Linked DNA regions of Nothobranchius furzeri. The protein of the gene in region 2 interacts with the protein of the main gene of each other region in a pairwise test. Links are inferred from orthologs where the notes say so. Each region holds a gene or a part of one and is shown on either strand. Other genes may lie near its edges. The genes, in order: bnip2, bcl2b and bnip4.

What was found.
Region 1: the proteins of bcl2b (region 2) and bnip2 interact in a two-hybrid assay, tested with the Homo sapiens proteins (3 studies listed by BioGRID and IntAct). The link is inferred for Nothobranchius furzeri from reciprocal best matches to the Homo sapiens genes BCL2 and BNIP2.
Region 3: the proteins of bcl2b (region 2) and bnip4 interact in a two-hybrid assay, tested with the Homo sapiens proteins (2 studies listed by BioGRID and IntAct). The link is inferred for Nothobranchius furzeri from reciprocal best matches to the Homo sapiens genes BCL2 and BNIP3.

Annotation. Positions count from the first base shown.
Region 1 is NC_091744.1:67,577,180-67,582,006, forward strand, and holds part of bnip2 (BCL2/adenovirus E1B 19 kDa protein-interacting protein 2), read right to left. Parts: coding exon 4,753-4,827; intron 4,651-4,752; coding exon 4,586-4,650; intron 4,273-4,585; coding exon 4,096-4,272; intron 1,983-4,095; coding exon 1,800-1,982; intron 1,721-1,799; coding exon 1,618-1,720; intron 1,548-1,617; coding exon 1,416-1,547; intron 1,310-1,415; coding exon 1,223-1,309; intron 1,150-1,222; coding exon 1,051-1,149; intron 1-1,050.
Region 2 is NC_091751.1:52,804,038-52,809,386, reverse strand, and holds the start of bcl2b (apoptosis regulator Bcl-2), read right to left. Parts: upstream 3,458-5,349; 5' UTR 3,227-3,457; coding exon 2,693-3,226; intron 1-2,692. UniProt on the Homo sapiens protein: Suppresses apoptosis in a variety of cell systems including factor-dependent lymphohematopoietic and neural cells. Regulates cell death by controlling the mitochondrial membrane permeability. Appears to function in a feedback loop system with caspases.
Region 3 is NC_091752.1:32,879,593-32,884,419, reverse strand, and holds part of bnip4 (BCL2 interacting protein 4), read left to right. Parts: intron 1-3,243; coding exon 3,244-3,350; intron 3,351-4,827. UniProt on the Homo sapiens protein: Apoptosis-inducing protein that can overcome BCL2 suppression. May play a role in repartitioning calcium between the two major intracellular calcium stores in association with BCL2.

The DNA.
Region 1 (4,827 bases), on a different chromosome or scaffold from region 2:
GGCGTGCATCCTCCGTGGTGAAATACCCATCCATCAGGATTATAATAACTAGTATAACACATCACATTTATCCCTGTCTCTGTCTTCCTCGTGAAATAAATGAACGTTAATCTTACCCGGTAAAAACATGTTCGCTGCAAATCTGAGGGCTGCTAGTCCGCTTGATTGGTCGCTGCAGTTAATCTCCGTCCTCAGTCTCCATCAAAGTTATTAAAAAGCAAAACAAGTTGAGTTTACATCCTTGTCTGTTAGTGCAGCCAACCACGCAGCAAGCTAAAACCATTTTACTGTCAAATCAACTAAATAAAAGCGATAAAAGGCTACAAACTGGCTTGTTTTGACTAGCTTCACTGGAGTTTCAATGGGTGTAAACGATCTTTTTGCTGTCCATCATGGTGAAGGGGGCGGTGACATGAGTGGCGTGACGTCACGTGCAAAGGGTCAATAGGACAGGACAGGTGGTCCACTCAGATCTTAGGGTTAAGGGTCACTCTTTTCAGAAAAAGAATGTTTAGATTTTAGAAAAAGAAGGTTGCTGGTTTGAGAGGCTTTGCTAAAGCACACAAAAAAACCAAACATAAGGTTTCAGCTTTCCCATTTTGATCCGATTTTAATCCTCGGACACTTTGACAGCAATCTTCTCCTTCAGACAAGTGGTCGAAGCATCTCAGATACAAGCCAGGTCAGCAGAGGTCCCAATGACAGTCAGGATGGAGAACAGGGGAGAACTTTACTTGAATGTAAATGCTCTGCACTTTGGTTTGAAATTCTCTCAGAGGTGAATCATCCTCAACAATCAAGACAACAGATGAGTTCAGGTTGTTACTTTAAACATGATGTGAATTCTGCTCGTGTTTCATTTGAAAATGCAAACACAGCACAGCTTCCAAGAGTAAAATAAAGATGGAAGAGTGTAAAATACAAAAATGATTAACGTCTTTGCTTGAGTAGATTCCAATCTACTATAAATAATGTAACTAAATACCCGTTACAGCTGTGACTTTAGCTTGCAGACCTTCAGACACGTTAGCAGCGCTCCAACGTACTTACTGTTTGATACAATCTGGTATGGACACATACTCCATTGGAACGAGCTCAGCGAGGTCCGTCAGGCTAAACACAAACTGGATTTTCTGGCTAAACTTGGAGCTGTAAAAGAAAAGCAGAAAATGATTAAACAAATATAAATAATTGTGTTTACCACCCTGAACATTTCTGATACCTTATGAAAGGTTTTGTGAGAGCCAGCAGGGTCCGAATAAACCAAGAAGGGTGCACGATTATCAACGACTTCAAGTTCTTCCGTAACCTGTGTTTGAAAGAAAAATAATGAGTAAATAATGGCTCAAAGTCTCAGGTTTTCTACTTTAGTCGAAGCTTTACTTGATTAGAAGGATGAGACGATGTCGACTCACCTCCTATCGATCTGCTGATAACACTTTCGGAGCCAGCCGACCGTCGGCATCTTCTTACGAGAAGTCGCCCCGTTTAAATAAACAATCATATAATTCTCAGCCACCAGCAGCTCCAGAGTGCCAATGACGTATCTGAAACAGGAAACCGTCGTTAGCTTCACGCGTCATCGCTAAAGCACTAAAACGAGGCTAATGGGCTCACTTGAATAAATTGTCCATGATGTATCTGTAATTAGGTTGGTTGCTCTCAGGCATGAAGCACACGGCAAACACAATTATAGCATTCAAACCATCGCCATAGTAACCTGTAGAGAAAAACGCTAACATTATGACATGTTTAGAGTTTTTTTGTTTAGTGTGTGAACTACATGAAAAGGTGCTGACCCCCGTGACTGATTACTCTCTTGTAGGGCTCAATAGCCTTCATATCCACTCTGTGGTCCTGATCTCCAAAATGGAAAATCCTCCACCGTCGACCTTCTTCCCGCTCCTCTGATGCGGATAACTCCTGGACCGTCTCCACACCTTTCTGTAGCACTTCTGTGCTTTTGGGCTTGGGAAGATCATCTGAGGAAGAAAATACATTTTAAGCAAAAAGCTAAACACCCATAGCTCTTGTAATCCAGATCCGATCGTTTTTTAATCAAATATTCGCAGTTCAATCGGGCGCACTGAACAAATGATTGGTTTTGATCTTTTGCATCTCTGCAGCATGCTTTTCCCCAGATTAAAAACCAAAATTCACAATACGGCGTTCTTTCTTTGCGATTTTTAGAGAGAAAAGGCAAAAATCCTGTCGATTCACAATGAAAATCAAAGATGTTCTTTCACAACAAACCGCTTTTGTTTGTAAACGTAGAGCTGCATAGTTTCATAAAACTGATGTCATAACATCAACTGGGGTTGTATGAACTAGTCGACTAGTCGACTTCACGGCTCTGTAGTGACTTTTTATGCCTGTCATCGACTAGTCGCTGTCACATGATAATGACCGACAAGATGCAGTCCTTGGAAAAGACAGCAGGTGACGAGCCCATGCGCGTCGGGAGGCGACGCACTGGTATCAGACACCCGCCGTAAAACGGACATTTAACTAAATTGTGACCTTTACCATCTTACAATTTAACCTTCCCCTCACCACCATCCTAATCTTAACCAGCTTGTGCATGCAAAGCTCTGATCGTTGACGCGCTCCAGACATCTGCGTCCTGAGCACAGCCACAGTAACATCAGGTGTCGCCACCTGAAAAACAAATTTAACACGCAATCGTTTATGTCGGCTCATTTCCTTTTATGTTTTCTGTCTTTTATTTGTGCCTGATGCGAACCAACCGAACCCCAACCCCCCACCCCTTGCGCCGCTTCAGGTGTATGACGTCATCAACGACTAGTCAAATTAGACTCGATTTTCATTACTTGACTGTCGACTTTAAAAAAAATTAAGTCATGCAGCCCCAACATCAACAAAGTACTTAAGTGATCAGGTACTTCAAGCATGCAACGAGAGGAATCAAAACCAAAATTGTGAAAGCAAATCACACAACATGTTCTTTAAGCTAAGATTTCCTTTTCATTTTGAAAATACGCACTCATTTTATTACTAAAGTAAAAATGCCAAGACCACACAACAGATGGTTAAAGTAAAAACATCATTTTCCAAGCAATGCTGCGCTGTTTTTTATGCCACAGCAACAGCAAAAAAGTAGATTCCAGTTTTTTTTCCTTTCATTTCATGTTTGCAATATTAAATTAATTTTAATTTTTCACAAACATCAAAACAGCTGATTTATTAAACTGGTGACAAGGTGATACCATTTCCCCATGAACAGAAAAACTCCAAACAAATAATAATTAAAAATAATAATAATAATAACATATATATATATATATATGAAAGCAAAGTTGAATTAAGAGGAAGTAAGGAATGATGGGAAAAAAGGCATTTGTCTGAAAACATGATCGGACGACAGACGCTGATTGACTTGTGTTTTCCAAAAGATCAAACAAGAAGAAAGTCTGTCCAAGAGTCCTTACCCCACGGGGGAGAGAAACCTGCTGCTGGCTTGCAGCCTGTTTCCAGGCAGACAAAGGAAGCGGTTCTTCCAAGTGAAAAAGAAGAAGGCGGCAGAGTGGAAACACAAACACAACAAAGCATATTTAACCATACATGAGGCAGCAAACTGCCAAAGTAAACCTGTAAATCATCTAGAGGTGCAAGAACCAAGTTCAACAAATAAAAATGTGAAGCAGGGCGCTTCCTCAGGACCACAAAAGAGCCCCAACTTTTAAATCTAAATTCAAACTTTCATGTATTCATCAGCCTATGAATGACTGTTTATTATGCTGCACCGTAACTGCTCACCCTTTAACTTTTATCGGATTCTTAAATCTGAATTAAATTTGTGCATCTGATATTTTAATTATGCTGTTGTGTTGATTTAGCTGTTCATGCTCCTGGAAAGTGCCTCAATGTATGAAATGTGCTATATGGATAAAGATACCTGGCCTTCTCTTCTAACTGGACTCAGAGTGGGGAACCTTCAAGTATTTAGCTCACCTAAGGAGTGATGTCTTTACATATTTTGCTTTAACAGCAGAAACTAAAACAAAGCTAGATAAAACCACAGTTCCAGGGCCAAAGCAGATGTGGTATTTGTGTTTTCCGTGATATACTTCTTACCTTCCCATTCAAACTCATTGCTGTTGTCTGACGGCGTGTCGATGGCATCCAGATCCAACTCTGTGCTTTCCTCCAGCTCATCAGAGAGGATGGAGCCATCGCTGCGGTCAAGAGTCAGGCTGATGTCTGGAGCACTGAGTTTTTTCTTTGCCTTCTTGCTGTGGTTTGTTGCAAAGCCTAAAACAGACAAAAATATGCTTAGTGGTGGTTGATTTAGTTCCCAAAAGCAGATAAATGGTGTTTTTTTTTTCTGATTTGATACTCACGGGGGTTTCTGCAGAAATAAATGCAATACTTAGAATAAGTCATAACTTACACAAGTCAGGCTGCTGAGCCCTCATCGTAGTTACAGTTGAACTTTAAAATGCAAAAGCAAGGGAAAAGCGTAGGAGCAGCAACATTTCTCTTAACCTATTACCATGTGGGATCTGACAGGGGTGAGGGACCACAGATAGGTTTTCTGCAGAAATGTACAAAGTGACTTGATTACCAGGGTCGACTTCCTCAGAAGTTCCAAACAGCTCCTCTTCAAGCTCTTCCTCCTCTGGGAGGGGCCTAACGTTTAATCAGAAGTAATCATGACTGTTTAAAACATTTAAAAAGAAACAACACATTGCTAGATTATGACAATGCACCGATACACGTGACTGAAATTACCGTGGAAAATCTTCGTCCTGCCACTCTTCCTTCAGCTCGACTCCTTCCATTCGTAAACGAGCTTCCGTGGTCCTG
Region 2 (5,349 bases):
GCAGTGGATCCAGTCATCTCCACTCAGCTGTAAAACACAGACTACGATGACCTACATTACTGTACAGTGAGGTACAGGCTCCGGGGATTTGATGCAGGCATCTTTGCAGCCCAGTCTGCAATACGCAACAAGAAACAAGTCTGGAAAGAATAAAAAAAGGACAATAGAGGTCCAACCTCATTGTACAACAGAAAACTGTATGTTAAACACAGAGCCTGCAGACTAGTGGTATGTGGCACAACCTGCCACTACAGGGGGGGCAGACACACTCAAGGGGAATGTTAAATGGTCCTATCCACTAAGATGAAACATTCAATATGAATCATTGATGTCTCTTCCTTTCATTTGCAAACACATCATATTATGTATAATAGCTTCCAGCTAAGATGCACCATAAATGTTGTGTTCTTCACTAATTTAGAGTTCAGTCGAGGATGTGCAGCAGCTTCATTTTCTCCGGTTCTCTCAGAACTAATTGTGCTTGAATCATCGGGTGGCAGAAACCTGATGTTTAGTGGTGAATAAAACTTTTTGCGAACAAAACTAAAAAGTAGGGCTGCACGATATGGGAAAACCTGCAATATGCGATAACAATGATTAATATTGCGATGACGATATTACTTACGATAAATAAAAACTTAACTCAGGAACAAAAATAATCAAAAACAAAAAAAAAAAACTAAAAAAATTACAAAAAATTCCTAAAAATAGAAAAGCAAAAGATGTGAGGAAAGGGAAAAAGAAAATGAACAAGAAAAGGCAATCAATGGATCCCGGGAAAAGCAGAATCAGCAGAAAGTGCAGAACAAAGCTAACTAAGGTGTTTGCTAACCATCAAAATTAAGTGCCGTCCACATCGGGGGGCGGGCATCTAACCTATGAGAACCCACCCAATTGGCCAAGTGGGTGAAGAGCTCTTTGATTTGTTAAAAAAATGTCATGCTTCCATTTTATTGACAGAATGCATTACGTGTAGCAAACATTTGAGCTGACCATTCATTGCAATATTTATCTGTTCTTTGCAATATGCATATTGCACATGCTGATATCGCGATAACGACATATTTGCGATATATTGTGCAGCCAAAGCTTATTTATGATATGAAAGCTCAATCCTAATAGGGTCACAGGAGCTGGTACCTATGTCCAGAGGTGAGGGACACCCTGGACCAGTCCACACAGAGACAAACACTCACTCACACCTAGGGACAAATTTAGAGACTCCAAGCAACATAACACTTGTGTTCTTTTACTGTTGGAGGATTCTGGGGTATTTAGAAATAACCCACACAAGTTGTGCAGGTGGAATTTGAGCCAACAATGCCAACTCATCCGCCACTCAACCCAAACTCCACCTACACAAAACTAATCTTCTACATGAAATATGAAGCAAATTAAGAGTTCACAGACAGATGGAGCTGCTATAAAATCAGAGAAGAGTGCCTAATCCTGGTTGTCCAAGATAGGAAGTCTGTGCACATAGAAATCTGAGATGAACCACAACAACCATCTGGTCATTGACATTGGATGAAAATTGGCATGAACAGCTTGTCTGACACTCAAACAAGTGATTTCCTCTTTTATCCAGGCCCATGAATGCACCATGACCAAACAGCAGTTGAAAAAGCAGACATTTTCCCCTAGTCCTTGAACTCACCATTGCTTATTCACACTGGCAGTACAAATCTTCTATATGGACGTTTTCACTTACAAAATATTTTTAATTTAATCATAATTTTGAAAAATTATATTAAATATCAGTAATGGCAGGTCAGGGCTGTTATTATTACTATCATCATCATCATCATTAATTAATTTGTTTTAAAATGTATTATTCTGCACGACTTTTTGAAACACCACCTATGCAAACTGCATGTTCGGCCTTTGAGAAGTCAGGAAGTGTGCATCATTTGGAAGGTATGACAAAATAAGAGCATACAGCATGTGACCCCAAAAAACTAATAGCTTACTTGTTTTGATATTAAAATATAAATATTAATTGGATTGTACAGGTGTATGATTCACGTGTGTTTTAATAACACACACACACACACACACACACACACACACACACACACACACACACACACACACACACACACACACACACACACAATAAAGCGCTCTGACAGCTGAGCCCGCTATGCCCAGAGGTTTTAGCACATTAAGCCTGCAGATCTCAGTCTGGCGCCCTCCATCCTGCAGGAATCATCACCTAGCGCATTTCGTCACATTGAAATCATTCTCTGTAGAACACTTTGAATACAACTAAATTAAAACATAAACATCAGAATTTACTCTTATTTTTCAAACTTCTAAAAGTTTCCCTCAACCATCTGGTCCTATGTGTTTTCATGGCGGAACACAGATAGCTGCGTACGTAGGGAGGTGTGACAGAGAGCCTTCACGTGATTGGTCAAAACAATGTTGAGAGTCAACTCAATCAACCAATCAGAGCAGCTAACACATGAAGGCTCCTCTCTATCAACGTTTGCGTTGACGTGCGTCACACCCCCACAGCAAATTTTTTTTAATTAATGGTCGACCTCACGTGTACTTTCGATATGAACCGGAGGTTCGTCAGAATGCTCATTTAGACCTCAACCAGACGCCCAGGCGCGCACATAAGCACGATATCAAAGGGTGAGCTCATGCGCCCCCACTCTCCTGAACCAGACGGAACCAGACCTACCCATCCCCCGTTATCTTCTATCCAGCTGTTAAGAAGAGGACCGTTTAAATATTCCGTCATCCACTCTGCTATGGTGTCGACCTGCGTTGCCATCTCCTCTCTGGACGCGCACTCCACGCACACTGTGCCCCCGAACTCGAAGAAAGCGATAATCCGGCCCCAGTTCACCCCGTCCCGGAACAGTTCATCTATCACCTCGGCGAACCGGGTCTTGGCCGTGGCGTTGGTGAGGTACAGCTGCCGTGACATCTCCGTAAAGTCCAACTGGTAGAGTCTCTCCAGCTCGTCTCCAGCCTCCCGCATGACCCTGTGGATGTCCGCGAGCGGCTCGGGCTGCTGGGAGATCCGTCTGCAGTCCACATCGGGGCCCGGTGATCCAGCCTCTCTGCACCTGCGGACCACAGTCGGAGAGCGGTCACCCACTGAGCCGTTATTGGCGACAGCACCGTCATCGAAGCCCCACGCGAACCCCCTCTTTGAGAGTTTATGGCAGATATAGTTTTCCACGATATTGCGATTCCACTCGTTCGCCATCCCCGCTTAATGTGGCATCTAATCTGATCCCAGGTCGCTCTAAATACGGTGCATTATGATTAAAACTGCGCGCTGGAGACGCGCACGGCACAGACGCGTCCTGGGCTGATCAGTGAAATAGAGGTGGTGGGGGGACTTCTGGAAAGCCTCTGGGACCAAATCAGGCATAAAGCAGTTCTAGTCTGAGAAATCCTGGTTCCGCTCCAGCAGGAGGCTTCATTTCCCGGGTCTTTGGAGGGGACTCTGGTGACCTTCTCTCTGGGTAGAAATCCAGTCTATGCGGAAGAGATCGGAGTCTTTTCCTGTGAGCAGCAGCAGCCAGACGCGGATGTGCTGCGGATAAATGAATGAAAGAGGAAATAGGAAAAAAAAAAAGTTGCGCGTCCCTGAAGGGGCTCTGGGGGCGCGCCAGCAACACGACCCACCCTGAACACAACCGGACGTGGGACAGTGAGCCACGCAGAGTCGGAATGAGCGCTCTTCAACGATCGCTCTTCTAACTGAAGCTCCCTGCCCACCTCCGCCGACGCTCTGACGTCACACACGCTCAGCCTCCGCGAGCACCACATCCACCAAAACACAATCTGCGCGCATCGCCTTTCCCCGCGCCGTTAAAAGCTCGTTTGGTAAACTACCATTTCCTAGAAACCAGCTGCTTTCTTTTAACTGATTTTCACGTGGAAGAAAAAATAAAAAAATATGGTCTCTTATTAACTCTATCCACCCCCTTGTGGTCAGAAACGTGACTGTGTGATCAGAGGTGAAGATTAAAAAACAATACCTGATATTTAAATTTTTACAGGCGTTTATTTCATCATGTAAGAAAATAAGACAACGTTCCACTTCTCACATTTCCTTTCAATGGCACACAAGGTGAAGGTGTTAAGTTTGTTTGGCAGAAAAAGAAAAGTTCAACAAGAAATGAGTGAATTTCAGACTTTCTCACAAATACCAGTTAATTATAGGGAGAATGAAAGGAACTGTTATTGAATTTTCAAACACAGCCCGTTTGCATAGAGTAAAGGTGTTACATTTTTTTAACATGAGCTACATGTCATTTAAACTATGTGATGTTACCTCAGGGTAGAAGAGGAAAAAAAACAGAACTTCTGAAGCAAAAACAGAAATGGAAAACTCCCCAGTGGAGGGAAAACATGCCTTTAACTAAAATCAAATGAGAACGTCATCAAACGTGAATCATCAATTCTCACCGTCATATCTTAGATCAAATAAGGCTTTATTTCATACAAACACAAACTGACCAAAGAAACTTGGCATATTACATAAAAATCACTAACATGGATTAAATTACAACACTAACATTAGCTTTTATCACCCTTTAAGGCTTGAGATGGGTCCCAATGTTGCTCCAAGTTAGTGTTTATTTAAAACTACAATCAACAGAGCAGCAACATCCAGAAAAATGGAAAATAAACACTTTCTACTAGTGGAACAATAGCTTTAAAAGGTTTTGGCATTCAAATAGTGCATCAAAAATAATATCCCCCATGTCCTGATTCGAATGTTTGGCATTTAAGTTACATTCTTGATAAAAAAAATGGACAAAAAGGAAGACCTGCAGCGGTCTCTGAATGCAAAACTAAACACCAAAGTCAGAAACCTGTCAGTTACCTGCAACACCTTTACCTTTTAGGTGAAACTAATCTCTGTAGTGCCGTCAAAACACTTGAACTCAAACCATTGTGACAAAGGACCCAGAAAATGTGCGCTGATGCACACAACCGCCAATCCCGATGATGAAAACGGTGCCGGGGCTGCAGGTGAAAAGTGAAATCATGAGGAGTTTTCTACCCAGCCTATGACCTCATGGCTTCTGACTCACTTTGTGGATGACGAGACAAATAGTTTTGTAAGTGTATTGCAGGCTGGCCCAGTCACAGTAGAAACACACACACACACTCACACAGTTCACCCGCAACATACCATGTACATTTTGTTAATATTGTTAGGTGAAAGTCATATTATACATAAAAACCTGAAAACAACAACCTCTCACTCTCTGACAAGATTATAGTTATATAACTTCACAGCTTACGGGACACACGGACCACAGCGTAGACTAAACCATAACGGTCACAAAGGGAGGGTGCTTTGCCTGCAAA
Region 3 (4,827 bases), on a different chromosome or scaffold from region 2:
GCCAGGCCTGGGGTTGGGGCCCGTGAGCGAGCACCTGGTGGCCAGGCTTTCGCCCATGGGGCCCGGCCGGGCCCAGCCCGAACCGCATACATGGGCTCATCCAACTATGGACCCACCACCCGCAGGAGGAACATGAAGGGTCCGGTGTAGTGTGGATCGGGTGGCAGACCGAGGCGGGATCCTTGGCGGTCCGATCCTCGGACAACGAAACTGGTTTTTGGGACATGGAACATCACTTCGCTGGTGGGGAAGGAGCAGGAGCTTGTGGCAGAGGTTGAGCGGTACCGGCTAGATATAGTCGGACTCACCTTGACACATAGCATTGGCTCTGGAACCCAAGTCCTTGAGAGGGGTTGGACACTCTCCTTTGCTGGAGTTACTCTGGGTGAGAGGCGGAGGGCTGGTGTTGGCTTTTTGTTAGCCCCAAGACTCTTTGCCTGTGTGTTGGGGTTTACCCCGGGTAGCTTCCCTACGCCTTCGGGTCGGGGAACGGGTCCTGACTGTTGTTTGTGCTTATGGGTCAAATATCAGCTCAGAGTACCCACCCTTTTTGGAGTCCCGGGGTCGAGTGCTAGATAGTGCTCCATCAGGGGACTCCATTGTCCTGCTGGGGGACTTCAATGCTCACGTGGGCAATGACAGCATGACCTGGAGTGGTGTGATTGGGAGGAACGGCCCGCCTAATCTGAGCTCGAGTGGTGTTTCGTTATTGGACTTCTGTGCAAGCCGCAGTTTGGCCATAACAAACACCATGTTCGAACATAAGGATGCCCATTCGTTACACTTGGTACCAGGGCAGCCTAGGTCGCAGGTCGATGACAGACTTTGTAGTTGTATCATCTGACCTGCGGCCGTATGTTTTGGACACCCGAGTGAAGAGAGGAGAGGACTGGAGCTGTCAACTGATCACCACCTGGTGGTGAGTTGGATCAGATGTCAGGGGAAGATGCAGCGTAGACCTGGCAGACCCATACGCATAGTGAGGGTCTGCTGGGAACGCCTGGCAGAAGAACCTGTCAAGACGGTCTTCAACTCCCACCTCCGACAGAGCTTTGACCGCAGTGGGGGACATTGACCCCGAGTGGGCCTTGTTCCACTCTGCGATTGTTGAGGCGGCTGTTGCTAGCTGTGGTCGCTAGGTGGCCGGTGCCAGTCGTGGTGGCAACCCCCGTACCCGCTGGTGGACACCAGAGGTTCGGGGAGCCGTCAGGCTGAAGAAGGAGGCCTACTGGGCGTGGCTGGTCTGTGGGTCTCCGGAGGCAGCTGACAGGTACCAGAGTGTCAAGCAGGGTGCAGCAGTAGTAGTTGCCGAGGCAAAATCTCGGGTGTGGGAGGAATTTGGTGAGGCCATGGAGAAAGACTATCGATCGGCTCCAAAGAGGTTCTGGCAAACTGTCCGGCGCCTCAGGAGAGGAAGGCAGCAACTCGCTCACACTGTTTACAGTGGGGATGGGGAGCTGCTAACGTCAACTGGGGCTATAGTCGCTCGGTGTAAGGAAGACTTTGAGGAGCTCCTCAATCCCACCTACTCGCATTCCGAGGAGGAACCAGAGCCGGGAGACCTGGGGATGGACTGTCCAATCTTGGGGGCAGAAGTTGCTGAGGTAATCAAACAACTACACAGCGGCGGAGCCCTGGGGGCGGATGAGATTCATCCTGGGTATCTCGAGGCTATGGATGTTGTAGGGCTGTCATGGTTGACACGTCTCCGCAACATTGAGTGGTCATCGGGGGCAGTTCCTGTGGAGTGGCAGACCGGGGTGGTGGTCCCCATCTTTTAGAAGGGTGACCTGAGGGTGTGTTCCAACTATAGGGGGATCACACTCCTCAGCCTCCCTGGAAAGGTCTACTCCAAGGTACTGGAGAGGAGGGTCCGATCGATGGTTGAATCTCAGATTGAGGAGGAGTAATGTGGTTTTCGTCCTGGCTGTGGAACTGTGGACCAGCTCTATACCCTTGCAAGGGTGATGGAGGGGGCATGGGAGTTTGCCCAACCAATCCACATGTGTTTTGTGGATTTGGAGAAGGCTTATGACCGTGTCCCCAGGGGCGCCCTGTGGGGGACGCTCCAGGAGTATGGGGTGGGTGGCTTTCTGTTAAGGGCCATTCAGTCCCTTTACCAGAGGAGCTTGAGTTTGGTCCGCATTGCCGGTAGTAAGTCGGACTTGTTCCCGGTGAGGGTTGGACTCCGCCAGGGCTGCCCTTTGTCACCGGTTCTGTTCATTATCTTTATGGACAGAATTTCTAGGCGCACCTGTGGTGTGGAGTGTGTCGAGTTTGGTGGCAGGAGAATCTCGTCTCTGCTTTTTGTGGATGATGTGGTCTTCCTAGCTTCATCCAGCTCTGACCTTCAGCTCCTGCTGGGTAGGTTCGCGGCCGAGTGTGAAGCGGCTGGGATGAGGATCAGCACCTCCAAATCTGAGACCATGGTTCTCGACCGGAAAAGGGTGGCTTGCCAACTCCGGGTCAGGGGAGAGGTCCTACCTCAAGTGGAGGAGCTTAAGTATCTCGGGGTCTTGTTCACGAGTGAGGGTAGGAGGGATCGGGAGATCGACAGACGGATTGGTTCAGCGTCTGCAGTGATGCGGACGCTGAGTCGATCTCTCATGGTGAAGAGGGAGCTGAGCCCGAAAGCCAGGCTCTCGATTTACCGGTCGATCTACGTCCCAATCCTCACCTATGGTCATGAGCTTTGGGTAATGACCGAAAGAACAAGATTGCGGATACAAGCGGCTGAAATGAGTTTCCTCCGTAGGGTGGCCGGGCTCAGCCTTAGAGATAGGGTGAGGAGCTCAGACATTTGGGAGGGACTCGGAGTAGAACCGCTGCTCCTCCGGATCGAAAGGAGTCAGTTGAGGTGGTTTGGACATCTGGTCAGGATGCCTCCTGGACGCCTCCCTGGGGAGGTGTTTCGGGCATGTCCTGCCAGCAGAAGGTCCCCGGGTCAACCCAGGACACGTTGGAGAGGTTACATCTCCAATCTGGTCCGGGAACGCCTTGGGGTCCTGTCGGAGGAGCTGGTGGAGGTGGCCGGGGACAGGACGGGGTGGAGCTCCGTAGTTGGGATGCTGCCCCCAGACCCGGATAAGCGGAGGAAGACGATGACGACGACGAATACGACTACGTATAGTTTTTGACAATTCTTTGTTGATGTCTCTCAGCATTCAAACATTCAAATTATCATTGGAAGCCAAGCTTTGGTGCTGACAGCCCTTGATCTTCCTCCATTTTTTTCTTTTTCAGTCTGATGAAGACTTCCAAGAGAGAAGATGGGAAGTCGAAAACCTAATGAAGAAAAATGCTGACTGGATCTGGGACTGGTCCAGTCGACCTGAGAACAGTCCACCCAAGTAAAAAAAAAAACAACTAAAGATTTTTATTTAAGATACTAAGGGTGGATTGCACCAACAAGGTTTAATTTAAACTAAGATTATCACTCATCAGTGATTAGTAAAAGTAGATTTAAAATAACTTAAATCAAGTTTAAAATTAAGCAGGGCTGTTTGCATACTTAAAATTAATCACAGTTTAGTTAAACTATGTTTACATTTTTAAACTGTGCTTAAACCGATTTAAATAAAGGTGAGTGGATTTCAAAATAAAATCTACCAATTAAACAGGCTACGTTATTAAACTATAAACATCAGAAGCGTGTTGTTAAAACCTCTTTAAAATGTAACAGACGTTGGATTGAAAACCCTCCTCCTCTCTGCTCTTCCCACCCAGTGAGTTACTGTGTCATGTTTGGTGCATATATCAGCATTTGCTTAAAGAGCAAGTCACCTCTTACAAGAAGCGTACTTCACTCCCACTTCATGTTTGAAAAATGCAACAAATGCTGTTGCCTAGCAGACCGAGAGGGTGGAGCCACTAACAAATACACACACTCACGACATTGTGACATCATAATGTACCAGTTTACATCATAGCATACCTCTTAGCCAATAGCGGTGGCAGATTTAAATTCAAATCCAGTGCAGAGTTTTTACTTGACAACGGCACAACACTGACAGTTTCAGGCAGAAAATTTAAATTGTAACTAAAATGCACTAAAGTGCAAAACTATTGATTACACGTGTCTGCAGCATGATTAGACACACATTTATATAGTTTATCAGAAAAAAATAGTTGATTTGGGGGTGACTTGCTCTTTAAAGAGCAAGTCACCTCTTACAAGAAGCATACTTCACTCCCACTTCATGTTTGAAAAATGCAACAAATGCTGTTGCCTAGCATACCGAGAGGGTGGAGCCACTAACAAATACACACACTCACGACATTGTGACATCATAATGTACCAGTTTACATCATAGCATACCTCTTAGCCAATAGCAGTGGCAGATTTAAATTCAAATGCAGTAAAGAGTTTTTACCTGACAACGGCACAACACTGACAGTTTCAGGCAGAAAATTTAAATTTTAACTAAAATGCACTAAAGTGCTAAACTATTGAATACACGTGTTTGCAACACGATTAGACATGCATTTATATGGTTTATCAGAAAAAAATAGTTGATTTGGGGGTGACTTGCTCTTTAAAAAGCAAGTTTATTTATATATTTGCGTAGTTTCTCTGCTCCTCCTTTGCATTTTCTCTCCATCTCAGAAGATCCAAAAAGATCATATTAGCTTACCTAATAGCTAAGCTAGCTCCACACACAGCTAAATGGTCCCTTTGACAGGGAGCAGGTGTCTCATGCAATGATTGGACCAGCTCTGTGTCAGCGAAGGAGACAACGAGCTGCAAACTTGCACATCTTTCCAAATGAATGAACCTGAGGTTCGGGAACAAATTGTTGCATTGCAGCTGACTTTTTTTTTTTGCCA